Linked DNA regions of Mus musculus. Each later gene encodes a partner of the first gene's protein in a complex. Links are inferred from orthologs where the notes say so. Each region holds a gene or a part of one and is shown on either strand. Other genes may lie near its edges.

The links.
Region 2: Satb1 (region 1) and Hoxb2 share a complex: the UniProt entries of both Homo sapiens proteins name them as parts of the nuclear protein complex. The link is inferred for Mus musculus from reciprocal best matches to the Homo sapiens genes SATB1 and HOXB2.

Annotation. Positions count from the first base shown.
Region 1 is NC_000083.6:51,783,979-51,787,786, forward strand, and holds part of Satb1 (DNA-binding protein SATB1), read right to left. Parts: intron 1,663-3,808; coding exon 1,551-1,662; intron 1-1,550. UniProt on the Homo sapiens protein: Crucial silencing factor contributing to the initiation of X inactivation mediated by Xist RNA that occurs during embryogenesis and in lymphoma.
Region 2 is NC_000077.6:96,350,093-96,354,659, forward strand, and holds Hoxb2 (homeobox protein Hox-B2), read left to right. Parts: upstream 1-1,539; 5' UTR 1,540-1,718; coding exon 1,719-2,103; intron 2,104-2,330; exon of another isoform or gene 2,331-2,507; coding exon of another isoform or gene 2,508-2,526; intron 2,527-2,857; coding exon 2,858-3,537; 3' UTR 3,538-3,924; downstream 3,925-4,567. UniProt on the Homo sapiens protein: Sequence-specific transcription factor which is part of a developmental regulatory system that provides cells with specific positional identities on the anterior-posterior axis.

The DNA.
Region 1 (3,808 bases):
TGTGGTTCTTAGCATCTCTCGCAGATGCTTAGGAAGGGCAAAGAGCTGTTCTGGTACAATGGTGGCACTGTCACGATTCTGCAATTTATTCTCACCTACCCGGGATGAATGCTTCTCCCCTGGCTAGAACACTTGTGTGGATTGGCTGAGAGTCAGCTCTAAGTGTGTCAAACGCTTTTGCTGCTACACAGAATAGACTAGAGGGAGGCTGAGACCAGAGTGTAATATAAATAGGTAAACCTTTTCAGATGTCCACACTTTCCATAGATAAGCTCTATTTGGCTTTTAATCATCGTTTCTCTTCTCATTAAAGATGCAGATTTTATAATCAGAGGAACTGGTCATACTGCTATACTCAATGTTATATGCAAAATATAACTAAGAATGGAAAGAAACCCTTAGTTTCTACCAGTGACATCAGCCCAAGTGGGCCATTCGCATGGAACAGTAATTCAAGCAATTATTCCAAAAATTGATGTATTGTCTTCATTACGGCCCTAAGCTATAAAAGGCAAAGAATCCGTTTTGGTAGATGGATGGCTTTTCTTCAAATATTAAAAGCTAAAACATGCTCAAAATTCTTATCTCTAAGTCTTCAGGAAAAGTTATTATTGCTACTATTAAGTGAATGTAACAGTGATAAAGATTTACAATAGGGCATAACACTTTGTATATGAGGCACCCCATTCCTGTTTGATTTTAAGATGTAGTATCTAGAAGTGTATGAAAGAGGAAGGTATATTACCCTTAACCATAGTGTGTGCTCCTGTGAGCTCTAACAGATCCACAACAGAGAACATGCCAGACTCCAAATGCTCCGCCATAGCACACAACTGTGACCCATCGTTTTATACCTCGGCTCATCTTGATGCTGCCTAACAATGTTGACCTAATGCTGTGTGTGCAGAGAGGGTGCTAGACTAGAATTGGAAGTTCAGAAATGAAAAGTGCTGGTTCTATTCCAGGTAGGAAGGCAAGCAAGCTCCTACCTACGGGAGCTGGAGCTATAAAAACCACTCCATCTCAATGGTGGAACCAAACTGTCTCTAGCGAGTCAAAGGCAGTTAAATATTGTTTGAAAGCTGCTGTGAAAACGGGCTCTTCCTCTTTTTTGCAAACAAAAGCAAAAGTCCCTAAGCATGATTATCTCTGTGAGAAGTCACAGCCGGTATTAGTTATTCAAGGCCTGGTTAGGTCTTCACTGAGATGTTACGAAATGACAGCTCTCCTCACGCCTCGATTTCCTGCATGTCTGACAACCGAGTCGGTGTAGCTGATTTAAACACAAACATTTATTGAATTTAATTATCTCATTATACTCATACCCACTCCCCCACCCCCAAAGAAACATTCTAAATTGATCTCTAATTGGGCAATCAAAAGATCTGGCTTTCGATGTGACTTTGATAAACCCCCAAATGACATGCAATGGTATGTTGCCACTGCAAAAGGATGGGCTTTTTTTTTCTTTTCTCTCTCTTCTTTCTTTTTTTCTTTCTTTCTTTCTTTCTTTCTTTCTTTTTTTTTTTTTTTTTTTTTTTTTTGCTTACCCATCATATCCTTTGTCTTCTTGAAATGTTTGTACCACCTTCCAAATTCTTGACATTTTGCTGCTGAGACATTTGCATAGTACGTGCTGTTCACAATGGAGGAGATCATGCTCTGTGTGGAAAGGGGAGAATATGTGTGATAACACACCATGGCACACGTGGGGAGCCCGCAACTTCAGCCGTGGAAACAGTGCCTGCCTGCCTTTTAGGTTTCTAAGTCAACTGGGAGCAAAGCTTAAGCTTCTTAGAATTCATTAAGTCCACCATCAAATGCTTATTTAAGTCACAAGCAGCAGCCCCCACACACTATCTGCTCTTGCACCCTCTGACAATCTCCGTCCACGCCTCCTAGTGCTCACAAATGTGCACCAATCTGAATCAGTCCAAGTCCAAGAAGGTGATGTCATGATTGAAATGTATACAAGTTTCTACCATTGCAGCACGGTGGCTGGACTCCACATGTTTGCTCTTCAAAGCACAGGCCAGGCCCCGGAGCCATGGACATTGCCTGGAAGCTTTCGAGATATCCAGTTCCGAGCCCTATCTCTGACCTCCCCCGTCAGCACCTGCACCTCACTAACACTCCTCAGGGCAGCCAGGCACAGTCAAGTAGGAAAACCAATTTTTTATATTTTCATGCTCAATGTATAGATTACAGCTGCTGGTGAGTTAGGAGGCCTCAGGGGTCACACTTAGGAAGCAACTGTTACAAGAGGTTGCATCAGATCTTCAGGGTTGATTGTGGCCTTTATCTAGTAAAGCTTGAATTGAGACTTTCAAGTTACCAGAAAATATCTAACTATACACATTTTGTACTAATTAACATTTTAAGAGTTCCATTCCCCCAAAAGAAAAGAAAGAAAAAAGAAAACAAGAAAATGTCTATGTGTTATTTTTCTCTTGCTTAAAAAAAACAAAAACATAAGTAGATGCTCACAGTCAGCTATTGGATGGAGCACAGGGCCCCCAATGGAGGAGCTAGAGAAAGTATCCAAGGAGCTAAAGGGATCTGCAACCCTGTAGGTGCAACAACATTATGAACTAACCAGTACCCCGGAGCTCTGGACTCTAGCTGCGTATGTATCAAAAGATGGCCTAGTCGGCCATCACTGGAAAGAGAGGCCCATCGGACACACAAACTTTATATGCCCCAGTACAGGGGAATGCCAGGGCCAAAAAATAGGAATGGGTAGGTAGGGAAGTGGGGGGGAGGGTATGGGGGACTTTTGGGATAGCATTCTAAATGTAATTGAAGAAAATACATAATAATAAAAAATATTAAAACAAAAACAAAAATAAAAACAACAAAAAACCCAAGCAAGCCATGAAGAGCTACACATATGGAGCTCGCCTATAATTCCAGCACTAGGGAGGGAGAGGCAGACAGATCTCTGAGGTCTAGAGCACCTCATTTATGTTATGAGACTCAAACAAACAAAAAGGCATTGAAAACAGCTAGCCATTTGATAAGTACAAATGAAGACAATAATGTTAAGAGAAGGTTTAAAATAAAAAAAAAAAAAAAAAAACACAACCACACTTTCAATAAATAACACCATTTTTCCCAGATAATTTTGGTTATAGTAATTGCTGTTACTTAATTCTTGGTTCACCCACAGTCTCTAGTAGCTAAATTAACTCCCTATTGAGTCTTAGAAGACTGAAGCACCAAGCCTCCTGGTCCTGTGAGTAGAAACTTAAGAGCTTAAATTTCAGACTGGCTGATCTACAGGGAAACAGCTTACAGAAGACTCCATTGTCAGGAGGCAGTGAACAACCAGAAAAGCCAGTTTGGGGACAAGAATATTTTTATATCATTATCTTCTTTAAGCTACTTCAAATGTAAAGCTCTTTGGGCTATTATTAACTCTGACATCCATCATCGGTGTTAATTCTGTAGCACACACACACATTCCTGAAATGTGTAAGTTTGGGGATCCTCTCAAGACCTGGGAGTGATGGGTAAGCTAGAGTTGCATTATTTATGCAAAACACAGCGATCTCTCCACTGAGGCCCTGGGATAGCGTTTGTCCCCCACACTTCCTACTTTATAGTCATTACACTTTATTTCTCTAAAAAGACATTCTTAATGTGCTCTCGAAGCCCTGCCATTAATCCAATCGCTTGCAATTTCACTAAGAGCCTCCCACGGTCCATGGCGCAAAAAGACACTTAGCAAGTTGCCAAAACCAGAGCCAGGACTACCTGATCCAGTTAGCAATCCACAGCTTCCATCAGAGTTACTCTACTGTAATAA
Region 2 (4,567 bases), on another chromosome or scaffold:
CTCCTCTAGGCTAGGCGACAGAGAGCGAGGAGGGGGAGGGGAGGCCAGAGCCGTGGGAGTTCTCCGGGGCAAACTTTCCACCCAAGTTAGCGCCTTCCCTCTGTCCCCATTTCCCATCTGTTTCCTAGATCTCCCAGAATCACCTTTCTCTTTGGCTCCCCCCTCCCTCAGGCCTTTTTAAGGGATATGCAATTTAGGTTGTTCCCTCTGCTTTCCCAAAGAGCCAAATTCTTTGATGCAATCGGAGGGAGCTGTCAGGGGGCTAAGATTGATCGCCTCATCTCCTCTTGGTCCCTCTGACCCACTTATTTAAAAATCTTCCCCCAGCCGACTTTTCATTTTCAGCTTTGAGGCCTAGTTTCCCACCAATTTGCTTGTGGCTCTGAGGTTTTTTTGTTTTTGGTTTTTTTTTTTTTTTTTTTTTTTTTTGTTGTTTTTTGCCTCCTTCCTCTAGTAAATCACAATATTCTAAAATTGAGCCCATCATAGGTGCCTCACCATAGAATACATTACATTTTTTTTTCTCTCTGGAGGCCCAAAGCAGAATATAATCTCAGTGGTGGTCATTATCCCCAGCCCCCTCTCCCCCACCATCTTTAGGAAATGTTTTCTTACCAGGGATTTTAAAAGTAGCCCAAAGGCAAATACAGAGGGGGAAATCCCTTTGTCCAGAGGGCGACTGTGCACTGACTTTAGCTTTGAAAGTTAAGTGGATGGCTACTTTGGTGCCCTGGATAGAGACACAGATACACCTGGGGGCCTGTGAATACATCTGTCACCTTAGACCTTCTTAGACCCTCCTATTGCCAGGGTTGGGGTGTCACAGTGTGAGTACAGATGACCCCAACAGGAAGGCAAGTGGACATAAGAAACTGCTTGTAAATTCTGAGCAGAGACTAGAATCCAGGGCACATAGCAAGGGAGGTAGGCCCATGTCCCAAAGTGCTCCTGGAATCTATGTCCCTGCTGCGTGCCAGCTCTGTGCATTTCTTAAGTGTGAACTACTGCTTTCTGAGGGTGGGTGGGCTGCCGCTGCTGCTGGTGTTTAGTGCTGTCCTTTATCCATCTCCTTTCTGATTTCCCCCAAGGTATGGAAGCCTCTTTCTACTCCCACTTCCCCCTAAATGAGATTTTTTTTTCTTTTCTTTTGGGGGCTGAGGTGGTGGTAGGGTAAGAGGCTACTGAGGGCCACATAAAGAAAGCATATTAACTCACTCCATTTCTCCCTTAAATGTGGTTGTTTGCCACCACCACACAGTCTCTGAAGGGAAGGAAGAGGTTCTTTTGGCTTTTCTGGGAAAAGAGAGCCATTAGGGAGAGTGTAGGGTACTGATGAAGGAACAGGGGTAGAGGAGGAAGCCTCATGGTATCCAGGTCGTGGTCCTCTGGAGTTTTTGAATCAATTAAAGCAAATAATGCCTGTGTTTTCCACTAGGCCTAGACTAGCGATTGGCGGAGACCGGTCCCGTGACCATGAATTCCCTGCAATTTCGGCGGAGTCCTGGGTTTAATAGAGAGAGTCCCCATACGCTTGTATTTATCAGCAATATACAATTATAAAGGCCTAAATTTAAAAAAAAAAGAGAGAGAGCGAAATCTCCCCCCCCCCGCGAAATTGCTCCATTGCATAAACCTGGGGGGGGCGGGAGAGGGGGGTCCCTCTGATTCTCCCTCCTGACGCCCCCCCCAGCAGGCCCCCTCCCCCACCATTGAAAGCCATGAATTTTGAATTTGAGAGGGAGATTGGGTTTATAAACAGCCAGCCATCGCTCGCCGAGTGTCTGACTTCCTTCCCCGCTGTCTTGGAGACATTTCAAACTTCATCAATCAAGGAGTCGACATTAATTCCTCCTCCTCCTCCTCTGGAGCAAACCTTCCCCAGCCTCCAGCTCGGCGCCTCCACCCTTCAGAGACCAGGGAGCCAAAAGCAAGCCGGAGATGGGCCTGCTCTGCGGTCACCGCCGCCACTCCCCGTTGCCCCCCCAGCCCCCGAGTTCCCCTGGATGAAAGAGAAGAAATCCACCAAGAAACCCAGCCAATCCGCCGCATCCCCTTCTCCAGCCGCCTCCTCGGTCCGGGCCTCCGAGGTCGGATCACCATCAGGTGGGTAAACGTATTAGGGGCGGGGTGAGGGGCAGTTGGAAGAGAAGGGGAGAATGTGAGGTGATGGGGCTCCTGGTGGGGTTCCCTAGGTCGACGGATCTGGGGCGAGGGAAGCAGAGTATCCCGCTGGGGTTCAGGCCTAGCCACTGTTAGCTTCCCCACCCCCAGAAAATTTTGGAAGCTGATTGAGGGTGGGGAGGATGCTTTTTTTTTTTTTTTTTTTTTAAATGTGCTTAGAAAAAAATGATTCGATTGAAGGGTTTCCCCGGTTTCTGTGTAGAGGAATGAAGCGTGTCTGGGATTGAATCTGGAGCCTGGAAAAGATGCGATGCCTCTAGCTCTCCTAAAGCTAGGGAAGAAGAGGGAATTCAAAAGCTAGGAAGGAAAGGGGTGAAGAACAATCTATGATCCCTCTCTCCCCAGGTTGAGTTGGAAAGTTCTGAATTGAGGGGTCCATTGGGAGGACTTGGGGGAGGGAGACTCTGAGGTCCTGGGAGCTAAGAGAAATTGCTCCCCGCCCCCTACGTGGCCCGTGGGCGGCTCTGAAGGCACCGACTTGACCCGGGCCGGGTCTGCCTACGTGGAAGAGCACTAAAAAAAACCCCAAAGACACAGAAAGAAGCGCTGTGGGGGTGGGGTGGGAGCCCGAGTAGGACTGCTGAGAGTCTTTTAAGCCAAAGGGGTGCTCCCGATCTCAGCTAAACGGAGGCTGCGTTGAGACCTCTCTGATAACATAGGGGTGCTTCCCTCGCAGATGGCCCCGGATTGCCAGAATGCGGCGGCAGCGGCTCCCGCAGACTGCGCACGGCCTACACCAACACGCAACTGCTGGAGCTGGAGAAGGAGTTCCACTTCAATAAGTACCTGTGCCGGCCGCGTCGCGTCGAGATCGCTGCCTTGCTGGACCTCACCGAAAGGCAGGTCAAAGTCTGGTTCCAGAACCGACGCATGAAACACAAGCGGCAGACGCAGCATCGAGAGCCGCCCGAGGGAGAACCAGGCGGGCCGAGCGCCCAGGACGACGCGGGAGAGCCAGCCGAGGAACCCACGGTCAGCCCGGGCGACGTCGCGACTCACCGGCTGCGGGAAGCCTGCTTCCACCCCGCCGAGGCCGCGCAGGGACCCCGGGGCGCACCGCCGTCAGCGCTGCCTGCCACCACCCTGGAGAGTGTGGGCGCATCGAGCCCCGGCTGCACAATGCTCAGAGCCGGAGGCCGGCAGAGCGAGCCCCTACCCGAAGACGCCTGCCCCGAGCGGCAGGATTCGCCTTTTCTACCGGACCTCAATTTCTTCGCTGCAGACTCCTGTCTCCAGATGTCCGGAGGCCTTTCACCCAGCCTGCAGGGTTCTCTCGATAGCCCCGTGCCCTTTTCCGAGGAAGAGCTGGACTTCTTCACCAGCACGCTCTGTGCCATCGACTTGCAGTTTCCCTAACTGTTTTCCATCTTTGGTCCTTTCCGTCTGGTCCTCCTTGGCTGTTGGGGGCGGGGGGAATCGGGCCTTCTCCACTCGTGGATACATTTATGCCGTTTTGTTAAAATCCAGATAGTAACGAATTAGCGTTTCATTCACTCCTTTTCGCTTTTTAAAACCACACACAAAAAATTCCACTTGGTAAAACTCCTTCCAACGAAATCTCAGGAATAATTAAACTCTAGTGGGAGAGGGTTTTCTTACAAAGAACTAGAGGGACCTATTTTCCTCTTTTTTAAGTTTTAGATTGTAGATTATTTATTAAAATTGTTTAATAATAGGAAAGGGGGAAAGTATTTATTGTACATTATTTTCATAGCGTAAATAAATGTCTTTATAATATGAAAACGAGTGTTTGTGTTGGGATCTAGCTCTTTTTGCCAAGTCCCTACGGCCAGTCTTTGCTTTCCCACTCTCCGCTTGAAGTTGGTTTAGCTCTGGCTCAAGCGACCCAAGGGAAGGCATGGTCCCATCTCCCAGGCTGACAAAGTCCGGGTGGTACAAAAGGGGCCCTGCTTGGTGACTATTTCTTTGTCCAAGACACCAGGAAGAGTTTATGGAAGCTTGGTTCATCTGCAAACAGACCGTTTCCAGTCCTGCTAAGATGTTCCCTGGGTCCCTGCTTGGAAATAAATGTGGGGTGGGTGGAAAAACAGCGTTCTGGGGGGGGGGGTGCAGAAGCGGGTACAAGAAAATGTCTCAGAGGCCAGCTTTGAGCCTTGGAGGCTGCGCAGAGGGTTAAAAGAGTTGAAGGAGAAATCCTTGGGTTTGCTAGCCTGCGGGCTTTGAGTCTGCAAGCTTAGGCCGAGGCCTGCGCTGTGCGCCCGATGCTGCCTTGGGGCTCCAGGTCCTTGAGGACTAGAATGGGGCTTAGGAATTTTGTAGGGAAGAAGGGAGGCCCGGGCGTGGCAAGAGGCTTTTGGCTCACAGAAGTAGCACGGCGAGCGGCAGAGAGCGCGGGAAATAGGAACGATGCTCAAAATGGCGCTGG